2 linked regions of the Nothobranchius furzeri genome follow. The protein of the gene in region 2 interacts with the protein of the main gene of each other region in a pairwise test. Links are inferred from orthologs where the notes say so. Each region holds a gene or a part of one and is shown on either strand. Other genes may lie near its edges.

Region 1 (7,893 bases), on a different chromosome or scaffold from region 2:
CTCTTCCGTCGGCATTCTAGGAATCAAAACTAGGAATCGAAATAAAACTTTGAACGATTCCAGGAAAAACTAACTGTTGGTCCCGGTTCAAATCGATGCTCGGTGCCCAACCCTGTTTAGTAAAGTATGTTTTGTTTTAGTAAAGTGATTTTAGGAAAAGTTCATTTTAGAAGTTTTGTTTAGAAATTTTTACTTTAGTAAAGTGCGTTTTGTTTTTAGTAAAGCGAATTTGGTAAAGTTTGCTTTGTAAGGTGAGAGTAAAGTGGCTTGGCATTCTTCACCTTGTAGCATCCTGTGTAATTCCGATGGAGTGAGCTGACCTGCTAAGCGATCAGGGATGTAAACCGGGCTGGGGCTGGACAGGCGGGCTGGCAGCGTCATACTCTGCAGGACTGGAGTGTTGGGCTTGCTGGTGTCCTGGCATTGACCCTTGTCGGTCTGTGTGCAGCTATCCCTACTGCCAGTCTTAGAGTGGCCTGTGATCATCGAGGTGGAAGACAGTATGGGAGAAGGGGAAGATGAGATCGACTCTGTCCTCAGAGACTCTGGACCCAAAAGAACCCCTGGAAAACCAAGAAAACAAGATCTCATCAAAAAGCAAGGACATCTTCTGCTTCATGTATTTAGGCACTTCTAAAAATGCTCATCTTTCTTATTTTTGCAACAATTGTGATTTTTATGAAACACTGTACTCCTTCATGAAGTTAGGATATTGATGACAAAGGAGTTCCAGTGTTTAGTTTGGGAATGATTTGTTTGAAAGTAGGTAAAAACAGAAGCACAGAATGTCTGTAGTGGTACTCTATGACAACAGAGTACTTTGTTCTGGGTTTGTTTACGTTTCTGACGTCTGATTTACAAAGAAGTTAATCCTCAGCACAAAAAGAAAAAAAACAGACAGGTCTGTACCCAGACTGCCCTTCCAGCTTGTGTCTTTGCGTTCTTCAGTGATCGGGGAGCTGCTGAGTCCAAGGCTGTGAGACAGTAACCCTGACCCACCAGAGCCAGTGTTAGAGATGGACATCAGAGACTTAGATGGTCTCATTGCAGATGGTGCATCTGACTTGGTGGGCTCTTTTCTGGAGCGCTGGTGGAGAACTTTGATCATGGCGTCCTTCTCAATGATCTGTGCATGGAGATTCTTTATCCTGGAGGATATAAGAACAGAATACAGCTTTAGCTCCCTTAATCGAGAGAAATTGAGTGTGCAAGTCAGCACTAATCCCACCTGCTTCTTTAATTAACAGGTTCAGCAATAGGCAACAACCTTAACCCCGACCCAAGGTAACAGGAACCTTTACAGCTATACAGTGACACCATGTGACCCTTCTCTCTGCATTTCCATCAGAGAGGAGAGGTTTCTCTGCTGCGGTTAACAGTTTCCAGACAATGCTCTCAGCTGGTTAACACTGGTAATGTAACCATGAGTCCGAGTTAGGAAAACTTCTGTGGTTCTGGTGGTCCATCCATCAGTAGTCTGAGCTATGTGGTGTTTCACAAAAGTCTTTGACTCATCACTCCTGCAGTTAAAGTTCAGGAGCGACGACGCCTCAGCGGTCAGGGTGAGGGGAGCCTGCACGTCATGTACATGTGAATGAAGACAGAAGTGCACACAGTGAATGTGGCTCTAACCTGCTCTCCATGTCCAGGCAGCGACGATTAGCCATGAGGATCTCCTCTTCCTCCTTCTGGATGCGAGCTTCCAGCGACGTGTCGTAGCTGCTGCTTGGTGAGTGGTTTATTCCTGCTGCAGAAGCATCCCTGCACAACAAAGGTCAAAGTTCACGTCAACAGAACGGCGGCTTCCAGTCATCAGGTGAGTTTTACCATGTCTCTCACTCTAGTCCATATACATAGACCAGGAGTCTCCTGCCTTGTTGTACCTTTGAAAATAGTCTTTGCACATGGGACATGGGGACTGTGTCCACATGTACACCAATGAGGATAATGTGCATTTCAGTCTGTGGAGGAAATGTGTGGAACAGGGCTGATGAGGAATTAAAAAGCTGTGTAATTATAAATCAACTAAAATATTTTATTAAAAGAATCATTAATGCAGGAGTACATGTGATGGGCCGTATTTCTGCATGATCTGGTGAGCGAGTTAGTGTTATGTGTGACATGGAGGACACCTTAAGTATACAAATATTTATATGGGTGTTTTTATTGGATGAGGCATCTGGGGGGTAGGATTTAATGAGCACATCATAATTTTCCTGTCATTTCCTGATTAGATCTGTTATTAATTATTTAATAATAATAATAAAATAATAAATAATATAATTAATATTTTTTATGTCTGAAATGAAGATGTCATTCATTCATTCACCAGCACAATTTACTCCTCAAAACATTCCGTTCAGGCACAAGAAGTGTAAATTATTACTTGTATTACATGTGGGGTTACCATGGTAATGTAACATTTTCATTGAGAACAACGTGAAATTCCTCCCGCCTTACACAGACTGTGCTGTTCCTATGACGCTGGTCAGAAGATTCGATTGATGTGGGACTACAACAACATACTCAGCAGCTTTTGGATATTATAATCGGTTTCAGTCTAGTGGGGATTTTTGGCTCATTTGAGATTTTGTAATGAGATGCGATCTTTCACCTGCTGTGGGCTAAATGGAAGCGTGCAGCCTAACACGTAGAGGATTCCTATTACAAAATCTCTAACTGACTACACTTACCACATGTTGGTAAGGTAACGAGTATGTTGGACATTAAATGACCCAAGTCCAGATGTTCCTGCGTGAGACGTATAGCTATGCAGACGACACCCAGCTCTATCGGTCATTTCCACCAGACGACCACACTGTCTCTGCACGAATATCAAACTGTCTCTCTGACATATCAAAATGGATGAAATCCCACCATCTTCAACTCAACCTCTCTAAAACTGAACTACTTGTCATCCCAGCGAAACCATCCATACAGCACAATATCTCAATCCAGAATGACTTCCTGTCTCTGGCTCCTTCAAATGCAGTTCGAAATCTGGGTGTTGTGATTGATGAACACCTGACCTTTAAAGATCATGTTGCCTCTGTTGCTCGTTCATGCCGCTTTGCGCTGTATAACATACGAAAGATCAGACCATACCTAACACAACATGCCACCCAGCTCCTGGTGCAATCTACTGTCATCTCCCGCCTCGACTACTGCAATGCCCTTCTAACTGGTCTTCCAGGCTGTACTGTGAGACCTCTTCAAATGGTCCAGAACGCAGCGGCGCGTCTGGTCTTCAATCAGCCAAAAAGAGCACACGTCACCCCTCTGTTCATTGAGCTCCACTGGCTACCGCTAGCAGCACGCATCAAATTCAAATTGCTAACACTAGCATACAAAGTCCGAGATGGTACGGCTCCCCTCTACCTGAATCCTCTTGCAAAGGCTTACGTCTCGGCCCGGCCGCTCCGGTCATCACAGGATCATCGGCTAGCAGTGCCTACACCACGCTCAGGACAATCCAGACTCTTCTCATGCATCGTTCCACAAATGTGGAATGACCTTCCAAGCACTACCAGAACAGCGGCTTCCTTTTCAATTTTCAAGAAACTCCTGAAGACCCTGCTCTTCAGAGAGCATCTTCTAAACTAGCACCCTCCCTGCACCCGTCCCCCCTCTCTACTGTCCACTCCTTGTTCCCTCCTCTCCATGACTGATGTCAAGTTGTTGTTAGCCTCAAGGGCAACATGCCGATTATCACTTGTAAGTCGCTTTGGACAAACGCGTCTGCTAAATACATAAACATAAACATAACGCCCCTAACTGGAGAAACGCTCACCTCTGAGTAGCAACAGAAGCAGCAGCATCCAGAGCAAACTGCCTCATCACGCTCTCCTCCAAGTACTTCTGCTCCCACTTGGTCATGTCGGCCTCTAGAGCCAGAATCCGTTCCTCCTTCTCCCTTAGATGCTCCATCAGGGCTGTGGCGTTGTACTCAGACGGGACGGCACCGCTGCTCTGAGAGCTTCCCTGACGCTGCGAGGCGAGGAGACAAAAAGGTAAAAGTGGGGTTTTATCTCCCCGTCAAAATGTTTACTGTAGAAACAAAAGCAACAAAGCTTCTGAACAAAACGTTAAAAAGTGTTTGAGTTTTACTAAAATATTAACTGTTATATTTAGAGTTTCCACAGGTGTGGGCCTTGTGGTCTAGTCTTCACTCAAGGAGAGCTGCCACCTCCTAAACCTTTCTGATGCCTGACGTTGTATGATCAGGAAGGAATGAAGCCAAGTACAAGGCAGGAGAGCAGAATCCCCTGCAGCCCAACACCTGGATCACATCAGACGCAGATGCGCGACGATGCGTCGTGAAGCGCTGTGGAACGAAGAGCGCTTCTACTCGGCGCCCTTGTTAACCTACGGTCTCAATCACATCAGCTGTGAAGTGCCGAAGGCTCGCGGCGTGCAGCGATCATTTTGGTGTGTGCTCTTTTTCACGAGCCGTGTGAATTTTGTCAGGAAGTCAAACAGAAGAGGCAGGCCAGTAAATGTAACAAAATAAAGACTTTTTTCTAAATAAAGCACAGCGATTGATAAATGTGATCATTTTTGTGTATCTAAACAGAATAGAGATGAAAATGAACAAAGACACAAACACTCACACACACACACACACACACGCACAGCAAGGGCATGAGGGTGGGGTGGGGGGGGTGGGGGGGGGACGGTAGGCGTGAGCAGAAGCGCTTGTTGAAAAATCTCGCCTGATATAAACAGAGCAGCAGCGGGCAGCACTCAAATTTCGTGAGCGATCCACTTAGTGGCGCTTCGCTGCTGATGTGATCCTGGCTTAAAGTGGCAAAGCCAAAAGAACAGGTGGAGGACTTCCCAGTGCTCCTGCTTTGGAGTGCAGATCAACAATGAACTAGACAGAGAAGACATCTCCAGTCTTACAAGTGTTCTGACACGACTTTAGCGTGACACTCAGGAACGGACAACTCTTTCTGCTGCAAACTCTGGAGATGTGAGATAAGCTGAGGAACGTGTTAGACCAGGTGTGGTGGAGCGTTTATGAACATTGTCTGCTACTTTTACTTAGCTTGTTTTATTTAGCTGCACCCAGATGCATGGTCACCCCCACAACAGGCCTGCTCAATAACTTGTGATGAAGTCGAGGAGCCGTGAGTGCACAACGCTGCCTTACCTGCTGCAGGCGGAGAGATTCCAGCTCTCTTTCCAGTCTTGTTCGCAACCGATGTTCAAGCTGTTCCCTCTTCTCACAAGCTGCCTGCAGCTGAGCCAGAGCCTGCTGCATCCTCTCCACCTTCTCCACGTAAACCTGCTTCTTCTTCAGCTACACACACACACACACACACATTAGAAACACAGCTCTGGACAGTTTGATGGATGAATTATGATCTAATCACTGAGAACAGGACGTTCACACTAGCTGGACGAGGTTTTTCCAGGATTGTACGTTTCAAAGGTGATTAAAATTATGTTTGATTCTGAAAAAAAGAATCAAATCTAATATATATATATATATATATATATATATATATATGTGTGTGTATATATATATAACATACATACATACATACATGCATATACATATATATATTTATATATATAAATTTTAATGTTTAAATTTTATTTTGATGATTATGCGGCACACTTTGACTTCCATATGTAGCGCATCTGCCGCGGTTAGGGTTAGCGGTGTTCTAACCATTATTTGTACATCCACCATGTCCCAAACACGGTGAAACAAACTTCAAACTCAGCGTTTGGAGCTTGTAAGGCAGCACCAGCTGTCTGATGTTGCGAGCTGCAGCAGCGTCAATCTTTCCGGCTGGATGAATGAATTTCGTCATCAGAGAGTCAATATTCTGCTTCCTAACTGGAGTCAATAATGACCAGACAAAGCTATCAGTTAAACACCAGATCAGCCGGCCATTGCAAGTGTTTTCCCTCTAATATTCGCCCTCTTTGTGCTGCACTCTCCTCCTCGTCTCGTCCTCTCCCTGACCGGGAACCCCTCAGTCCTGTCTAACTCCCCGTTGTCCCCTGACTGGCTGACCCACCACTGGAGGACGTTTTTACACAGACGGACTACGTAAAAGAGCACTACCTCCTCCTCCAGCTTGACCACTTTGGCCTGAGCATTGTTGAGGGCCTGGTCTCTGATCTCGATGTGTCTCCTCTGGTCATCTGTGGTGGAGCGGAGGGCATTTAGCTCCATCTCCACCTTCTCTTTCTCACGCAGCGTTTCTTTGTCTGTAGATGTAGAAGAATGGAAACTCAGCATGAAGAGGTAGAGCTGGGCAATATGGAATCATTCATCAGGTTAGGGTGTGTGTGTGTGTGTGCGTGCGTGCGTGCGTGCGTGTGTGTGTGTGTGTGAGTGTGTGTCTGACTCTGTGTCAGCAGCTGGGAGATGGTTTTGCGGTTGTCCTCTGAGCCGTCACACTCTTTTGAGGCGAGCTGCTTGTTGGCCATCTCCATGCGCTCTGTGGAAACGCAGCAGAACAGATTCATGCCACCGCTGCTGTTGTTTAATAGTGACTCAGAATATGGATACAAAATATTAAGAACACAAACTGCAAGAAGAGCACAACTGTGCTGGATAAGCTGCTGTTTGCAGAGCAAAACAAAAGCCGCCCATCATTTCTTCTTTTTTATTTTAGTGTGATCCAAAAACAATAAGTGACTCATTTTTTTGTTATTTGTTTTTGAATCTAAAACACAAAAACAAAGAGGCTTTTCTTTTCACACAGCCAACGTTAAGCGTAGACCCTACTTTCTGAAAATGGCCAAGCCCACCTCCACCCTGAGAACAGCCTTCTGGTGGTTTTAACGGGTGTGTAAAAGCAAACTTCACCATCCTCACTCACAACTTAGCTTCTGGTTTGTGTTTGTTCACATCAGAACAGAAAAACAAGACAGGATTAAAGAAATCAGTAGATTCTGACCCACTTTGGAGGATTCTAACGGACCTTTCTGTAATCTGACTGATAGAAAACGGTAAGGTCCTGTCGATTTATTGGTGTGCGTTTCTGCACTCACCTCGCAGATCTCTGTTAAAGTCGTGCAGACGGCGCACCTCCAGCTCCAACTTGTTCCTCATGGTCTTCTCTAGCGCCTCCCTCTTGGAGGAGGACTTGGCCAGGTTTTCATAGGCCTCCGATACCAGCTGGATCTCCATTTCCAGCTACACACACATCAGAGAAAACAGGCTGTGAGCGTGGCACCATCATATCAACAAACAGGTTTGATTCATTCAGAAGGCGCAGAACAAGACTGAGGAACCACTTATTCCCAAAAGCAGAGAGGCTCATGACCTCTGACCTTTGAAATGTCCTCTTCTCTCTGTCACTACTGGTGTTAAGGAGTTTATTAATGACGTTTTATTTCCTTTTAATCTGCCTGTCTTATGCAGGAACTTTAGGAAGCCTTATCCTCTGGGAACCCGTCTGCATCTTATTTTCAAGTTTGTGGTTAAACTCGAACAGGCTAGTAAGACGTGGTCTGATTGGATTGTGTGTTCAACTAATTCCCACAACTCACTTAAAAAAGTTACAAATGATTGAGGCAGTTTGCAGAAAATATTACCTTGTGCAGCTTTGTGACCTTCTCACGACAAGCCTCCATCTCCTGTCTCAGCATCCTGTTCTCCTCCGTCAGCACATCCACCATCTGTTGAGCCCGGGACATCATGGCGTATGGCTCCCCCTGCATCGGGGCGTAGGGGTGTGACAGGGGGAAGTGTCCTGCCTGGACAGACAACTGGGGCTGAAGAGATGGAGACACCTGGAACTGCTGCTGCTGATGGTGCAACCTTGGGGCAGAGCCATAAGGATCCAAAGAAAAGGTGTGACTCCTCTGTGGGGTCTGATGAGCAGACATGGGGGTGTAAGGCTCCGCCCCTTGATGGGAGCCGGTGAC
Region 2 (7,091 bases):
AATGATTTGAGACACATACCAGCTCTTTTCTGATCCATCCATTGAAGCACAGTTTCTCGTAACTATCAAAGCCATGAAAGACTTCTGGTACATCGGTCTATGGACACGCTGTCTGCCCGATCCCTGTAGCAGTTGGTCAGTGAAAGATGCTGCTTTGGATTTGCTTTTTTACAGTTCACAGCCTTAACTTAATGTTTTGCAATTATTCAAGAACTTGCAGGATTTTATAATTCAAGAATCCTCAGCTGAAGTTGTTTTCAATGAAGTTTGTCATTTCTATATTACATGTGATTAAATTTGATATTTGTGACATCCATGGAAACTTATGTCTCATTTACTTGTTAAGTCAGTTAGCTAAGAGAGCCTGTTGTAACTGAACTGACTGAATCACTTGTTATGAGCAGTAACATAAGTCTGTGTGACCCACACAATTAAAACAACAAAAACAAAAAATCTGAGTTCAGTCATCATTATGGAAGTTTGCAATTTCTTATTACAGAATAAATCCCCAACCCAGTGACACGTTTGGCTGAGACTCTCTTGGTCAGCTTGCTTCTCACACAAAACTCTCTGTCAGGAATCTTGGCATGACCTTTGACCCAGCTCTCACCCTGGATTCTCATGTCAGTACTCTTGTTCGCTCTTCCTCCTTCCATCTCAGGAACGTTGCTAAGCTGAGTCCCATTCTGTCCCGCTCTGAACTTGAGACAGTTATCCACACCTTCATCTCCTCACGCTTAGACTACTGTAACTTTCTCTTCACGTGTCTGAGCAGAACCTCCCTGACCCATCTACAGGTGGTTCAATTCAATTCAAGTTTTTTTATCTAGCGCCAAATCACGACAAGAGTCGTCTCAAGGCACTTCACATAATAAAACATTCCAATACAGGTCAGTTCATTAAGCCAATCAGAAAAACGTTTCCTATATAAGGAACCCAGCAAATTGCATCAAGGGGCTGCCAGTCAACTTCAGGATTCATTTCAAGATCCTGCGTGATCTTTACTCATGACAAAATAACATGAGGATATCAGTAAACAGTGTAAGATAACTTATGCTCCACACAAACACAACTCAGCTGAAAAATGTTGGTGTTGCTAGACACTTTGCTCAGTTTTATGACATTTTGTCGGACTCTGAACCAGGAAATGGCTGCAGGCAGTGAAACACAAACAGGGTTTCCCCCAGTGCTTTATAAGTCTGGCCACCCGCCCCCCTCCCCGACCCTATCGTGTCCGCTGACACGAACAGCACAACGAAACTAGAGCCCTCCATCAGCTGATACTGGTGAGACACAGCAGCGGAACGTGTGCAAATCCCCCCCCAGGAGGAGCGCTGCTGGACGGAGCGCGTGACCCCCCCCCCCGACGGCCGAATCCGCCAGGCTTAACTCATTTTCTGGGGGAAACCCTAACAAGACAAAAAAATCTGGATCAACCGGTGACTCCGCCCCTTAGCCAATCAGAGGCCAGAATCACGATGCTGGCCCGACCCAGCCTTGCCAGGTACCTCGCAGCAGGGACTAAAATTAGGGGAGAAACTAGAGGAAAAATACCAAACCACGCCCTTGAGAACAGTGGTCAGACCAAGCTGCATCAGTCTGAGTTGCTCTGAGTAGTGTTTCTGGAAAAACAGACGTATTCTGTTGGAGTTTTCCTCTCCACTCTCACTACATGCTTGCTTAATATGGGGATCACTGTAAAGTCTCAGACACAAGTCAGCGACTCCATGCAGTCTGCTGGGTTTTCTTACATAGGAATAATGAACTGATCTCAATGCACCAATAATAATGTTGAACTGGAATGAAATTAAGTGGATGCAATTTCAAGTCCAAACACTAAAGAGCCAGATAGGAAACTTTGTGTAAAGATGTTGGACTAATACTTAGCCCCTCTGTATCGTGGCCCCTTGATGGCCCCGTATTCAGAAAAATCTGCCACTGCTCTGGAATTAGCTTCAGTTAGCAGTCATTCGCTTTACATGTCAGTGATTTATTTTGGGGGACGAGGGGTCCACTAGCTGGAGGAGATCCAACAAGGAAGTCATTTGGGACCAGGAACCAGACAAGTGACAATACACTCAGTTTGTAAAATGTTAACAAAATATCACAGAGCTGAAGCAGACGACTCAGTACACAACTATCTGGGAAGGTTTTCCACCAACCCCCTTGTTTTTATTTGTTTCAATCTGTTTTTCTGTTACAATACTCAGGCATATTTCTGTGTGGATTAAATGTTTTTAGGAATCTAGAAACCTGAAACGTAACATAAAAAAATTTGACAAAAAAATTAATAAAAATGAAACAGATTTTTTATTATTTTTTATTTGTATTCCCCAATGACAACAGTGGTAACAGTTCATCTGAGCATTAAAGCTATAAAAGCCTTTACTTTACGCTAAAACCTGCAAGCTTTTGATAAGTCCGGGGGGAACAGACCATGCACATTATCAACCCAAAAAAAGAAATGAAGATTTCTGAATCTCTGCCGAAAACAAAGTTTAACTAAAAAGTCATGTGATGAGAGTAAAGAATGTAAAATAACACTTTGTTCACCCTAACTGTCTTTAAAACCTTCTAAACAGAACCAAAGAAACAAAAACAGATTAGATTACTGCTTAGGCACACACCAACAGCAGGAATGAAACCTGTTACAGAAAAACATAACACTCTGACATGCACGACCCGATTCTAGCATTTTGCTTTAGCTCATTTTTGCTGAGTGTTTCTGGAGGGCATTTATTACAACAGGCAATAATGTTCATATATGCCGGCCGTTTTCTGGTTATTAAAAGCTTGAAGTAATCAGGAATATCTGAAACGCTCATTGCATTTCAGTGTCATTTAATTATCCTTTGTTTTTCTGTCATTCTAAGAGCAGAAGGTGGTGCTGTGTGTGTGTGTTGCATTCAGCCCGTGCGTAAGATGATGTGGACTCCAGAGTCGGTAAAAACAGGACCACTCATGTCTCCCACTTTCAGAGCAAAGGAGGCGTCTTCAAAAGGTTTCTGCATCTGACCTGAAACAGAAATGTTGTGTTAGAGAAAATAATTGTCCTAGTATGTTTCACAGTTTTTCATTCTGACCTTGCATTAATGACCTGTTTTCAACGTAGGAGCTTTTCTAAGATATTTAATGGAATTTTTATTTCTCGGTATGGTTTTTAAAAGCTTATGACCATGTTATGCTGTTATTTCCTTATGAAAAACACCCCCAAAGTGTTGAAAATAGAAAAAATGCTGGAAGTGCTGCAGCGGTGTAAAACATTATCTGGTACTCTCACTGGTGCTCTTCAGCCAAGGCATCCACATGAATGTATAGCAAAAAGAGGTCTGAGTTTCGATCTCCTGAGTATGGCAAGCCAAATGAGCATTTATTCTGATATCAGGATATCAGCCAGAATTGTCATGAACATGTAAGCCATTTCTGTCCACTAGTTAACTAGTTAGCCATGTTTGTGTCAACTAGTTAAATAGTGACAGCCTAAATGTCAACTAGTTAACTAGTAAGGCCTAAATTCTCTCTAGTTAACTAGTTAAAATGTTTCATATCTTACTAGTTAACTAGTATTGCTCAGTGTGTTCACTAGTTAACTAGTGGACAGATCAATGTCCACTAGTTAACTAGTTAAAACACATTTAGTTTTTACTAGTCAACTAGTAAGGTACAAAAACTCGTACTAGCTGACTACTGAATGTAAAAATCCCACTTGTTAACTTTGCCCAATTTGGCCAGCCGCTTGAGCATTAATTCTGATATCTTGTCAACAGGTCAACTAGTTAACTAGTGAGGGTCAAACTGTACACGCTAGTTAACTAGTGAACACATTTTGACCTTCACTAGTTAACTAGTTGACACAAAAATGGCTCATTAGTTAACTAGTAAAGGCCAAAATGCATACCAGTCAGCTAGTTGAAGGTATTTGTGTCTCACTAGTTAACTAGTCAGGGTCAAAATGAGCCCACCAGTTAACTAGTGGGAGACGGAAATGTTCACTAGTTAACTAGTGAACACATTTTGGCTTCACTAGTTAACTAGGTGACACAAAATGGCTCACTAGTTAACTAGTAAAGGCCAAAATGCATACCAGTCAGCTAGTTGAAGGTTTTTGTGTCTCACTAGTTAACTAGTGATGGCCAAAATGTGCACACCAGTTAACTAGTGACAGAAGAAATGCCCACTAGTTGACTAGTGAACACATTTTGGCTTCCTAGTTAACTAGGTGACACAAAAATGGCTCACTAGTTAACTAGTAAGGGCTAAAATGCATACCAGTCAGCTAGTTGAAGGTTTTTGTGTCTCACTAGTTAACTAGTGACAGTTCAAAGTGTCCACATGTTCACTAGTGAAGGCAAAACTCCTAACTAGTTAAGTAGTTGGAGTAGGGCAGTGCCACTAGTTAACTAGTGAACCATTAATGACTCACTAGCTAGCTAGTTGATTGTAGCAGGCTCACTAGTTACCTAGTTGATGCATCCATTGTCCAAACTAGTTAACTAGTGAGGACATAAATGTATACTAGTAAACTAGTTCAAGCCTACATTCACACTAGCTAGCTAGTTGCACAGAATTCTAATTAGGAGGCAGAGAATTTCTCAAATTGAGGCTTTCTATTGGCTCACTATGTTAAAATAAAATATGAAAACCAATCACAGTGCGGAATTTTGCAAAATCCCACCCCAAACATTTGCATGCGGCACACAAGTTAACATGCTGGCCAGAGGAACCTCAGCTAGTAAACTAGTAGTGGCTTCAGTGTGACACTTACATGTAAACTTGTGAAGGCGGAACTGCTCACTAGTTAACTAGAGAGGGTACAAATGTCCACTAGTTAACTAGTGAGGTGCAAAATAAGTGTCACTAGTTCACTAGTGGGCCCCAAAACGCCCACAAGTTAACTAGTAAGGTGTGGATATGCTCACTAGTTAACTAGTGAGGTGCAGATTTGCTCACTAGTTAACTAGTGCACCATTAAGCGCCCACTAGTTAACTAGTAAGGTGCAAAAAAGCATCACTAGTTAACTAGTAAGGTGCAGATATGCTCACTAGTTAACTAGTGGGCCCCAAAACGCCAACTAGTTAACTAGTAGGGTGCGGATTTGCTCACTAGTTAACTAGTGAGGCGCAGATATGCTCACTAGTTAACTAGTGACGTGCGGATTTGCTTACTAGTTAACTAGTGAGGCGCAGATATGCTCACTAGTTAACTAGTGAGGTGCGGATTTGCTCACTAGTTAACTAGTGAGGCGCGGATTTGCTCACTAGTTAACTAGTGAGGTGCGGATTTGCTCACTAGTTAACTAGTGAGGTGCAGATATGCTCACTAGTTAACTAGTGAGGTGCGGATTTGCTCACTAGTTAACTAGTGAGGTGCAGATATGCTCACTAGTTAACTAGTGAGCATATCTGCACCTCACTAGTACCTCACTAGTTAACTAGTGAGCATATCTGCACCTCACTAGTTAACTAGTGAGGTGCGGATTTGCTCACTAGTTAACTAGTTGCATCTAAAAACACATACAAGCTGACCATTTTTGTCCACTAGTTAACTAGTGGAACAATTGAAATTTCACCAGTTTACATGTGTGGGAGTGCAGCAGCTCACTAGTTAACTAGTGCCTGAAACACAAATTATGCATATTCTAATGAGAAGGCGGGCAGAAGACTCCTGTTGGGTATAAGAATCCCACCCAGTCTAAAACGTATGTGCTGTGGCCTCACAATCTGATGGGTGTCCCTGAGCGCCAAGGCTTGCACTCATTAGTCATGGTTTGACACCTACTGGTTGGTCGTTGCGGCGGGTTCGAATCCCGCAGATGGCATTCCGCAATTGCTGTAACATTATTTATTTTCTCTTTGTGTTGTAATGTTCAAAGTTTTATTGTTTTACTGCTTTTATTCCCCCCTCCCAAATCAAGTAAAGCACCTCGTTTGGTGTCGTGTAAGGGAGATCAGTTGGCGAGTTCAAGTCCCATTGAGGAGAATTGGAATTTAGTGTGCCAGTAATTTTATTGTAGTTCATTTTTGTTTGGTATTGAAAGTTTGGTATTGAAAAAGGCTATATTAAAAATAATTATTGATATATATATATATATATATATATCTCCATCCATCCATCCATCTTCCCAAGAAATAGATCAAATGACACTGAGGGAAAAAACTGTGGTTATTTTGGAGAGGGTGCTGGCTGCAAAACCACAAAGGCGGAGCTGCACCCCGCCCATTCACGCAAACTCAGCCTAGCCCACTGACTTCCGTTTTTGTTTTCAACTTTATCGCAAACTGACCTGACCCACATGAATTACGGCTGTTACTAGTTTACAGTCGTTAATGCTATGTTCTATACTCCAATTAAACAAGATAAATATAACTTGCTACATGACAAAGACTGAATATATCTCGAAATGAAAAGGTTTCTTTTAACGAATATCTGCCTACAGCTGGTCTAATAAAAGTGGTGTACAACAGCACTTCGGTCTATTGAATGGCCTCTGGTAGTCTAGTGGTAAAATCGTCTGAGTTGGTTTTTGCTTTCCCCTCAGCTGATGCTGGTTCGATTCTCGGTGGGGTCATCAGCAGTCTATTTAGCCACATTCAATTTGTTTATATTTTAGTTGTAATGTTTCTTTTCAGCAAAATATTTATGTCGCTAAAAGTTCTTTGAATTTGGTCGTTCCTAAACAGCATTTTAGTTGAAACTCTGCTCACAAATGGACTCACACTGGCTAAATAAACGAATAAATAAATAAATAAACACATTATATGTTAAACGGTATACCAGTAAATTGTTGTAAACATAGTACTGGCAAGTGTAGCTAGAAATGAAGAAAAGAGGTTGTAAACTACCTAAAACTTACACTACTGGGAGGCGAAACAGCATGTCAACCTGACTCCATAACCACTACACCACCACATCTGTTATAAATCAAGTGGCGTTACATGTAATTGTGCTGCCCAGTGTGTCTCTGAGATGGGATGTATGGTTTATTGGCGGTGTCTCAGTAGAAGTCATTTCAGAAATAATTTGTCAGAAAATTCACAGAATATCCAGATTTGAGAACCAAGACCAGACCCGCTTCAGGGGAGGAGACCAA

The links.
Region 1: the proteins of pin1 (region 2) and amot interact in binary tests that used the Homo sapiens proteins (3 or more experiments, as listed by UniProt). The two-hybrid records come from large-scale screens. The link is inferred for Nothobranchius furzeri from reciprocal best matches to the Homo sapiens genes PIN1 and AMOT.

Annotation. Positions count from the first base shown.
Region 1 is NC_091750.1:44,156,359-44,164,251, forward strand, and holds part of amot (angiomotin), read right to left. Parts: coding exon 7,561-7,893; intron 7,160-7,560; coding exon 7,015-7,159; intron 6,459-7,014; coding exon 6,366-6,458; intron 6,226-6,365; coding exon 6,080-6,225; intron 5,303-6,079; coding exon 5,153-5,302; intron 3,988-5,152; coding exon 3,791-3,987; intron 1,762-3,790; coding exon 1,633-1,761; intron 1,149-1,632; coding exon 910-1,148; intron 564-909; coding exon 282-563; intron 1-281.
Region 2 is NC_091744.1:9,174,493-9,181,583, reverse strand, and holds the end of pin1 (peptidyl-prolyl cis-trans isomerase NIMA-interacting 1), read right to left. Parts: intron 3,017-7,091; coding exon 2,907-3,016; 3' UTR 2,292-2,906; downstream 1-2,291. UniProt on the Homo sapiens protein: Peptidyl-prolyl cis/trans isomerase (PPIase) that binds to and isomerizes specific phosphorylated Ser/Thr-Pro (pSer/Thr-Pro) motifs.